Linked DNA regions of Caenorhabditis elegans. The protein of the gene in region 1 interacts with the protein of each later gene in a biochemical or structural test. Each region holds a gene or a part of one and is shown on either strand. Other genes may lie near its edges. The genes, in order: atx-3 and cdc-48.1.

Region 1 (4,458 bases):
AAAGCTTCGAATTTTTCAGATTTTTTCCAGAATCCCACCACGTACATGTTTACTGCAGACTTCTGCGACTTCCTTAACATGATTAAGTGTTGATGGTGGTGGAACGGGCGCTTTAACCGATACATTCGTCAGCAGCTGACACCAATGCATCATAAGCGAATCGATTGCGTCGCCCAGATAAGTTGGCTCGATCGGCTCTTCGTCATCCTCGTTCGTTGAGCCGGCTCCATCATTTCTCATTCGTCTTTCGTCGTTTTCAATGGATCCATCAGCGGCTCCTTGTGGAACACTATTCGAGTATTCGTCGTCTGGAAGATCCGGAGCATCGCCGAGAATATCGTCAATGTCCTCACCGCCGCCGCCGAATTCTGGAACTATTAGATTTTGTAAAATATTTTTATTATTTCGGCTCAAGGGTGCCATCAAATAATTTTTTAAAGTTTTTTTTTTCAGAGAAAATCGGGAAAAAATGATCAGAAAATTAACAAAAAAATTCAATTTTTATCAAATTTTGTATTAAAATAGCTTAAGATATTGCCATTTTCTTCTTTTGAGTAAAAAAACTGGGAAATCCTACTCCTCGTGGAGCACTAGCTTAAGCTCGAATTCGAAAAATTTCTTGAATTTTCAAAAATCACCATTCATTGGCATTTCCTGTTCTTCTCCGCCGTCCTCTGCATCCAATTCCTCGAACATTTTCAATCTAAAAAAAATGATTATTTTTTCCAAAAACTCTAAAATTGAAGGTAGTAATACTCATGGAATGCCAGAATAACTTTGAAAAGGGCAACAAAATTCAGAAAAAAAGGAGATTTCATCTAATTCTAAATAATATATCACATAGTCTGAAAGCGGTTCATACATAAGCACCAAGTATTTGGGGATACAAGTATCGGGAGAAATGAATAATCGAATTATACAGGAAAAGCCGAGAATATATTCACATAATAGAATTCAAATAATAAATTTACGATTAAATCGTTATTTTTCATCGTTCCTCTCTTCTTTCTTCTTTTCGAATCGCTCCAAAAACTTTTGTCGATCTCTGCGCTGTTGTTCGGCATTTGAAAAAGGTTCTGAAGCTCCTGGCGGCGTCGAAGATCGAGAACGAGTCAATAGCGGTATCTCAGCCGGTTCTGATGGTCCTGGAGCCTGGCTCAGCTCAATCGCCTTTCTGAGATTTTCTTCATCGATTTCAGCGGAACTTCGAGACACTTCAGAGCCATCCTTTGTTTCCATAGACATTGCAAAAGCTATCGCCAAATCTTTTTCTTCTTGAGAATCCGGAGGAGCACCGCTTCCACCGCCAAGTCGTTTTCCGACGGTATTGAAGAATTTTGTCATGACTTTCTCCAGCTTCTGCTCCTTTTTCGGTGTAACTTTTGGCGGTACAACTGGGCATAGCGAGATGAGATCGTCTGCATCGGATCTTGGCAAAACTCCCTGCACCACGAAGATTGAATAACCTGAAAATTGATAAATTAAAATAATTTTCGATTTTTGGAACTTTTTTTCAGAAAAAAAAATCAACGCTACAGCTTGTAGTTTAGGGATAAATAAAAATCTGGCTCTAATTATCAAAATTTAGCTTCAAAATTCATGAATTTATACCTTCCGACGACACTTGATGCAAGAACATGCTAACATAAGTGTCAGAGAGCAATTTGGGCCCACGGTTCACCGAATTCAGCTCGAACCATTGATTTCCGAATTTTCGGAGCACAAACCAGTGCTCTCTGAGGTTGCATATGTAAGCACGGGCGGTTCTGAATTGGAAATTATGAAATTTTTTTGTAAATTATATGGTAACTCGTACAAGGGATTATTTTTATAGTCCACCATCGCAGGATTTTCGATATTTGTGAGCTTGAGGCTAAATGTTTCAAGTGCTTTCTCCAAAACTTGAATTGAAAAGTAGCCGCTTTCGTTCATGTTCTCACTTCGTCCCGGAGTTGGGTTTGCCTGAAAAATCAAGAATTTCAATTAAAATTTTTTCGTATTTTCCATTACATTTCCCAGAATTTGTTGTTCCATTTTATCCATCTGAATGGCCAAGTCTCGGAGATCTTGCCACTTGTACAGAGCATCTTGTAGGAGCATATTCAGCGCGTGTTGAGCACAAAGAGCAGCTTCCTGGTGCTCGAAGAAGATGGAGTTGATCGGATCGTCTTTTGACATTTTTTGGAGCTGGAAAAATTTGGATTAGGGAAACGAATGGAGAAAATAAATAAAACACCTCAAATTTTGGAGAAGAAAACTTGGAAATAGTTTTATTTTTTCGATTTCACAATAATATTCCTCATGCTGAATGCCAAAATCGATATTTTTTGTAAGACGGATAGGTTTAAAAAAAAAATTGAGATTTTATAGGAAAATTCGCGAAGAATTGTTAACAAGCTGTTATTTTTCGAAAAAAACAACACGACTTCTAATGTTTTCCATGGAACTCCAGCACAAAACTGCAAAACCATCGGATATATTGTTAGAATTTTTACAGGATAAACTTATTTTAATAAAATTACGTCAATTTATAACTTGTTTTTCAACAAAAATAACCAATTTCGTTTGACAACCTACGAAAAATGTGAAATTTGATGAAATCGAAAAAAAAACGAAATTAAAAAACCTCAACGATGCTCCGAAATAACGACACCGCGTGTTGTTTATTCTACGTTTTATTGACTTTATTCAAAAGGTTTTCGAGAATTTCAGCTTGAAATAAGAATTTCGGTATGTTTTGGAGCTGAAAAAAGTCAAAGTATTCTGCAGAATATTGTTCTGAAATTGAAAAAGTCATAAAAATCGTATCGTAAATATAATAAGGCTTAAACACAACCTCGAAAAAATATACGACATTTTACAATGAAATCGAGAGAAATTGGCTAGTTTTATGCAAAATTCACAGAAGAAAATCAATAAATAAGTTAATAAATATGTCACATGAAATTAGAATTAGTTCTGGTTTTTCGGCGACTTCAAGTCTCCGTTTTCGTCGATTAATTGCATCTTCAATGCGCGAAATCTCGTCCAATACGTGACGTCATACCATTCTTTGATGTCGAGAACTTTTTGAACGCCTTGTAGCTTCAACGTCCATTCCACGGGGCTCTGTAACGATTTTTGATATAATTTTTGGTAAAAAATTGAGAAATAATTTATACAACGTGTCATTTTTTGTAGAAAATCTTCAATTTTAAATTTTTATATTACTTTAAAAGGAATTTCGAAGCCATCTTTCCGTCTCCGCTGAGCAATCGCCATCTGTCTTGCTGATGTGATTATTCGAAGTTTTGCCAAATCTGTGAGCCTTTCCAGCGCTTTTTCGTCGATTTCTAAGCCAAATAAATATGGAAATGAATGAAAAATTCAATTTTCTACCTTCAAATCCTGCAAATAGTGTCATTAATCGGATGCCAGCCTGCAAATCATTTTCGAACTTCTCCTTCTCGACTCGGCACTGCAAATTGACTGAAAAATATGTAAAAAATAGAAAAAAACTGTTGAAAAATAAATTCTTACTCTCTTTCTGCATGGCTCATCAAATTCCTCGGCTTTTCGTTTCTCAATCTTCGGAATTTTGAAGCTTTTCACATTTTTGAAGTATTTTTTCACATTTTCTGTTTCTTCTAAACTCCAATCGTCTCTTCGAAGCACGTCTTCCACGTACATTGTGGCGCCGAGAAGGTAGCGGGCCATTTTTTTTAGCTGAAATAAGTCATTTAAAGCGTAAAGAAGGAAATCTGGGGCAAAACGAACAAGTTGACAAGAAAATTCATCTATTTCCATTAAAAAAAATTTCGCTGAAGAAATTTGCCGACGTCACTCCAATGTTGCGCCGGAGCCTTGTTTAGCGTAAATCTACACAAGCAAATTTTAGCGGTTAATTCGAATATTAAACCTGAAATCTCTCGATTTGGGTAAAGAAAACAATATTTTCAACTGAAAACTGAAGTATAAGTTGAGTTTTTGGATAATTCAACCAGCATTATGAAACGAGAAACAAGAATATCAACAGAATATCACTTTTGTAAGTGAGAACCGGGGGAATGTTTAAATTTAAAAAAGGGAAAGCAATTAAAAATGTCGAAATAACTTCGGGAATTGAGAAATGTGCAAAGTAAGAAAACAACAAAAATTTATAGTCAAAGTACAGGGATTTGGAATTAAAAAAAATAAGGGAAACATACAGTTACTTCAAAGGCGCAAGCGTCATTGCAATTCGATGGGTCTCGTAGCGAATGGTTTATTTTTGCATCATTATTTTTTGCTGAATTTCGAAAATATTTTTATTTTATTTATTTTTAAAATTTTTTCATAAAATCTTCGTCTTTTGATAACGTTTGCGCCTTCAAAGTAACTTTAAACCGAAAAAAATGCAATAGGATATGTGATTTATGGTCTTTGAACTCGTTCGAAATTTTTCGAATTTTTCACCGAAACAATCATCGTCTTGAGCTT
Region 2 (6,010 bases), on another chromosome or scaffold:
GGTTCAACATTTGCCATTGGATGACCTTCTTCTGATTCCAAGAGCACGATTAGCTTCATCAATTTGAAGCTTTTGAAGGGAACGACGCTTACGGCCTCCACCTCCACATCCACAGCATCCGCATCCGCAACCACATCCACAACAGCATGGTCTACAGCAGGTACAACATCTAGTACAGCAACAAGTTCTACAACAAGTACAACAACATTTGGGTCTACAACAGCAGCAGCATCTTGGTCTGCAGCAGCAACATCCACATCCACCACCACCTCCTCCACATCCACAACATCCACAACATCCTCCATTTCTTTTAACACGAGAAGATCCGATAATTGATGTTTCAGATGAAATTATAGATATTTCTGTTGTTGATACTGGCAAAACTCCTGATTCAACCTATAATAGTATTGTGTTTTCTAACATTTAGAACCTTTACCGATACCTGTGAAATAGCAATAAGGGCAAAGAGAGTCAGAAGTACGATCTTATTCATTTCAGATTATTAGCGTTCGATATGGTTTTCGAATTTCCATCCATTAAATACCCTCTTCTTCTTACGTGTTTGTCGTCTCTCATTTGACACTTTTGCCGGAAACCATTTTTTGTGATCTCTCCGCGCGAGCCGCGTCATGGAAATTGAACACAAAAACTAAGACACTTTGGATCATGGAAAAGTTATATAAAAGCACCATAAAATTGAGATATTCATCAGTTTCTATTCGATCAAAATGACCAAATTCATAATTGGATCTACATTAGTTGTACTGATTTATACAATTGTATCGATTTCACAGGTTAGATTAATAGATTTAGTTCTCGTATTTAAGAAACTTATAGGTTGAATCAGGAGTTTTGCCAGTATCAACAACAGAAATATCTATAATTTCATCTGAAACATCAATTATCGGATCTTCTCGTGTTAAAAGAAATGGAGGATGTTGTGGATGTTGTGGATGTGGAGGAGGTGGTGGTGGATGTGGATGTTGCTGTTGCAGACCAAGATGCTGCTGCTGTTGTAGACCCAAATGTTGTTGTACTTGTTGTAGAACTTGTTGCTGTACTAGATGTTGTACCTGCTGTAGACCATGCTGTTGTGGATGTGGTTGCGGATGCGGATGCTGTGGATGTGGAGGTGGAGGTCGTAAACGTCGTTCCCTTCAAAAACTTCAAATTGATGAAGCTAATCGTGCTCTTGGAATCAAAAGAAGACCATCCAATGGCAAATGTTAATCCATTAATCTATTTGTTTAATTTATTCTAATTCTCGATCGGGAATAAATAATTTGGAAATTATTCAACTTATTAAATTCATAGATCTGGGAAACTATCAAGAATCAAAATCTTAAGACTATTCTCCTCTCGTCTCGTTTCACATCTCTTCGTTCTCCGTCTATCGATCGGGTGATGCTGCAAATCATTTTTATCGATCTACAAAGTGCTGCATTTACTAACGGCATATCGTTTCGAGACCCAAACGCTGATGTGCGTTATTGCAAATAACAGTTATTTTTCCAAACCAGCATTACATTACAGTCCACTTTTTTTCCTTTTCATATTTTCATCCTGGACCCAGCTACATACATTACCGCAAACGTGCAAACGGTAGATTTTATTTACTAGTTCCTTTTTTCCGAAAAATTTCAAAAAATTGTAAACTGCGTTTCCGTTTTCAAAGAACTTTTTTGAAGTTTCAACGCTTTTCATCGCAAATATTTACAAATACGTCTCGTTATTTAGAAATTTTAAAATTTTTTGAACAGTGAAAATCCTTTTCAAACTTCGCGCTAAAATTATAAAGCAACCGCGCCCTAACGTCAGAATCACCAAACACTTTTTGCGTACACTTGTTGAAAACACGCTTCTATATGCGTGGATGATGACAATTTTCAAATCTGTGTCGTTTTTAGAAATAATTTCGTGAACTTTTTTAAAATCTCAATTTTCTTTTATAGTTTCGTTCCCACTATCATTTTGGACACTCATTCTTCTTATTTTAGGTCTTAAATTGTACATAATGGCCTCGGTTCCAACGCATCAAAGCGAAAAAGAGAAGAAAAATGATGAGCTGTCGACAGCTATTCTCAAGGACAAGGTAAAGCCGAATCGCTTGATCGTCGATCAGTCCGAGCAGGATGATAATTCCGTCATCGCAGTTTCCCAAGCTAAAATGGACGAACTGGGACTTTTCCGTGGAGATGCTGTCATCCTGAAGGTATGTGTTTCTTTTTAATTTTTGATTAAAACGCACAATTTAAGAACTTGTAATGTCTGTGATTTACAATATAGGCTGAAAAACGTTCTGTTTTGAAGCTAGTACTGTTTATTTGCTGATGGTTTTATGAGTGTCATAGTTGTGCGATATAGATCAAGTAACGAATCGTTTCAAAGTATTTCGTAATCCTAACACCACGCAAAGGTGCTGATCTCGATTTTTAAACGGTTGTCACACAATTAAATTTTATTTTTCGATTCTAATGATTATTTTTGCAGGGAAAGAAGCGAAAGGAATCTGTCGCCATCATTGTCTCTGATGAGTCCTGTCCAAACGAGAAAGTTCGCATGAACCGTGTTGTCCGCAACAATCTTCGTATTCGCCTCGGAGACGTCGTGAGCATTACGCCAGCTCCAAATCTCAGTTACGGAACCCGCATTCACGTGCTCCCTATTGATGACACTATCGAAGGACTCACTGGAAACTTGTTCGATGTTTTCCTCAAGCCATACTTCCTGGAGGCTTACCGCCCACTTCACAAGGGAGATATATTCACTGTTCAAGCTGCCATGAGAACTGTGGAATTCAAAGTTGTCGAAACTGAGCCAGCTCCAGCCTGCATTGTGTCACCTGATACCATGATTCACTACGAAGGAGATCCGATCAAGAGAGAAGAAGAAGAAGAGAGCATGAATGATATTGGTTATGATGACTTGGGAGGAGTTCGGAAGCAATTGGCTCAGATCAAGGAAATGGTTGAACTGCCACTTCGACATCCCCAACTTTTCAAGGCTATTGGTATCAAGCCACCACGTGGAATTCTTCTCTTCGGTCCACCTGGCACAGGAAAGACTCTTATTGCACGTGCTGTTGCTAATGAAACCGGATCTTTCTTCTTCCTTATCAACGGACCTGAAGTAATGTCAAAGATGTCTGGAGAATCCGAGTCAAATCTTCGTAAGGCTTTCGAAGAATGCGAGAAGAATCAACCAGCTATTCTGTTTATTGACGAAATTGACGCCATTGCACCAAAACGCGAGAAGACCAATGGAGAAGTTGAGCGCAGAATTGTTTCTCAATTGCTTACACTTATGGATGGAGTCAAGGTATGCTTTTAAATTTTATATGATTCGATAATAATAATTATTTTAGGGTCGTTCTAACCTTGTGGTCATTGCTGCAACAAATCGTCCAAACTCGATTGACGGTGCTCTTCGTCGCTTCGGAAGATTCGATCGTGAAATCGATATCGGAATTCCAGATGCAGTCGGCCGGCTTGAGATTCTGCGCATTCACACGAAAAACATGAAGCTCGCGGATGATGTTGATCTTGAACAAATTGCAAATGAATGTCACGGATTCGTTGGTGCCGATTTGGCATCGTTGTGCTCGGAAGCCGCTCTTCAACAGATTCGTGAAAAGATGGAGCTCATTGATCTCGAAGATGACCAAATTGATGCAGAGGTTCTTAATTCACTCGCTGTCACAATGGAAAACTTCCGTTTTGCTCAAGGAAAGTCTTCCCCATCCGCTCTCCGCGAGGCTGTTGTCGAAACTCCGAATACAACTTGGTCCGACATTGGAGGTCTTCAAAACGTCAAGCGCGAACTTCAAGAATTGGTTCAGTATCCAGTGGAACACCCAGAAAAATATCTCAAGTTTGGAATGCAGCCATCAAGAGGAGTTTTGTTCTATGGGCCACCAGGATGTGGTAAGACACTTCTTGCCAAGGCAATTGCCAACGAGTGTCAAGCCAATTTCATCTCCATCAAGGGTCCAGAATTGCTCACAATGTGGTTCGGAGAATCGGAAGCTAACGTCCGTGATGTCTTCGACAAGGCTCGTGCAGCTGCTCCTTGCGTGTTGTTCTTCGATGAGTTGGATTCGATTGCCAAGGCAAGAGGTGGAGGCGCCGGCGGTGATGGAGGAGGTGCATCGGATCGTGTAATCAATCAAGTGCTCACCGAAATGGATGGAATGAACGCGAAGAAAAATGTGTTCATCATCGGAGCTACAAACAGACCTGATATCATTGATCCAGCTGTTCTTCGTCCAGGTCGCCTTGATCAGCTTATCTACATCCCACTCCCAGACGAAGCTTCTCGGCACCAAATTTTGAAAGCTTCTCTTCGTAAAACCCCACTCTCCAAGGATCTTGACTTGACCTTCTTGGCCAAAAACACTGTTGGATTCTCTGGAGCCGATTTGACCGAAATTTGTCAGAGGTGAGTAATTTAATTATTTGAAAATTTGTTCAAAACGCACAACTTAAGAACTTGCGAAATCTACACATTCTTGGCTCTTCTTAGCTGCGTTTTGCAGTTCAGATTCTGCCAAGTTTTGTGTTCATGGTTACGCGAGTGTCATATTTGTGCTATATAAAAAATCGTCTCACAGTAAATTATAATAGTTAGAGTATCTAAAGTCGCGCTAAGGCCCCGATATTCTATTTTTCCTGGTGTGAACGATGACATTTTCAGAGCGTGTAAGCTGGCTATTCGCGAATCGATCGAAAAGGAAATTCGGATTGAGAAGGAACGTCAAGATCGCCAAGCTCGCGGTGAGGAGCTCATGGAAGACGATGCAGTTGATCCAGTACCAGAAATTACTCGTGCTCACTTCGAGGAAGCCATGAAGTTTGCCAGACGCTCTGTTACAGACAATGACATCAGAAAGTGAGTTTTGATAATGGTTTTATTGTATGTCTATAAAATATGTTTGTAGGTACGAAATGTTTGCACAAACATTGCAACAATCTCGTGGCTTTGGAAACAACTTCAAATTCCCAGGAGAACAACGCGGAAGCGATGCCCCATCTGCCCCTGTACCTGCTCAGGATGATGACGACCTTTATAACTAATGTATTGAGTTTATCTACTGAGTCTATGTATGATACTCGTTTTATTTTCTCCCATACCCACTTTTTCACCTCGTATTTCACCCCTTTCCAACCCCCGATTTACCACTATTTATTGTAATTGAGCCCATGTTTTCGCTTTAGAAATTAATGGTTACGGATGATCTTCGCGAGAAGAAAAAATTTGTAGATACCTACATCCCAGTTGATCAAAAAGTATATCCCATTTATTTTTTTGCATCCCTCCCAATGTTTTGTATGTATTGCCGTTTTTGACATATAAATGTACGATGTCTGTAATCATAATTGTGTACGATTGTGTTGCCATATTCAAACTATTATTTGTGATTGTGTAGGTGGAATTGTCTCATGACCAATGACTGGTTGTTCCGTTGATAATGGGAAGCTGTATTTAAGATAAGTTGCCTAAGTTTAACGTAATTTTTTGGACCAGGTTTTAATATCAATCATCAAACCTATTTAGCGATCCAGTTGTTCTTGATCTTTTGGAAAGTAGAAGTGCTTTTTCATTCATTGATATCATTTTCCATCGATATTGTCTCCACACTCATAGGAGTGCACGCATTTCGTACATAGTCATGAGGTTTTTAACAAAGAAAATGCCGAATTGAGTACTATAGTTGCTTATCTTCAAGCTTGTTGAACTCGTTTCTGGCCAATTTTCAAAAATTCCTTGTCCTCGTTGTCTGTCACATGAATCTTTTAGATCAGATATTAATATTGATAGTAACTGATAAGTGCCAATAGTTTTCAAATTCTTAAAAATATCTGAAAACACAAAATTTGCCGCAAATATGCACATTTTTGTAAGAAACACCGTCACGAACAAATTCACACTACAGTGCTTTTGTTTTTTTTTTCTAGAAAAATTGGTTTTTCATGCCTGAAAGTCGCATTTCTACTATTTATTTTCCATTACT

The links.
Region 2: the proteins of atx-3 (region 1) and cdc-48.1 form a complex in vitro, tested with the Caenorhabditis elegans proteins (one study listed by BioGRID).

The regions. Positions count from the first base shown.
Region 1 is NC_003283.11:15,574,701-15,579,158, forward strand, and holds atx-3 (Ataxin-3 homolog), read right to left. Parts: upstream 2,744-4,458; 5' UTR 2,627-2,743; intron 2,188-2,626; 5' UTR 2,179-2,187; coding exon 2,011-2,178; intron 1,963-2,010; coding exon 1,817-1,962; intron 1,767-1,816; coding exon 1,612-1,766; intron 1,467-1,611; coding exon 982-1,466; 3' UTR 798-981; downstream 1-797. Other genes in the region: Coiled-coil domain-containing protein mdt-28, read right to left, coding at 46-374, 639-696; F28F8.9 (uncharacterized protein), read right to left, coding at 2,953-3,108, 3,211-3,332, 3,379-3,457, 3,520-3,705, 3,757-3,786; F28F8.7 (ELM2 domain-containing protein), read right to left, coding at 4,393-4,458. UniProt on the Caenorhabditis elegans protein: Acts as a chain editing deubiquitinating enzyme that binds and cleaves 'Lys-48'-linked polyubiquitin chains, with a preference for chains containing four or more ubiquitin molecules thereby modulating protein degradation by the ubiquitin-proteasome pathway.
Region 2 is NC_003280.10:10,559,395-10,565,404, reverse strand, and holds cdc-48.1 (Transitional endoplasmic reticulum ATPase homolog 1), read left to right. Parts: upstream 1-1,997; 5' UTR 1,998-2,014; coding exon 2,015-2,212; intron 2,213-2,340; exon of another isoform or gene 2,341-2,453; intron 2,454-2,490; coding exon 2,491-3,318; intron 3,319-3,364; coding exon 3,365-4,437; intron 4,438-4,470; exon of another isoform or gene 4,471-4,688; intron 4,689-4,692; coding exon 4,693-4,887; intron 4,888-4,936; coding exon 4,937-5,072; 3' UTR 5,073-5,374; downstream 5,375-6,010. Other genes in the region: C06A1.7 (uncharacterized protein), read right to left, coding at 4-396, 443-493; C06A1.6 (uncharacterized protein), read left to right, coding at 729-794, 838-1,230. UniProt on the Caenorhabditis elegans protein: ATP-dependent chaperone which probably uses the energy provided by ATP hydrolysis to generate mechanical force to unfold substrate proteins, disassemble protein complexes, and disaggregate protein aggregates.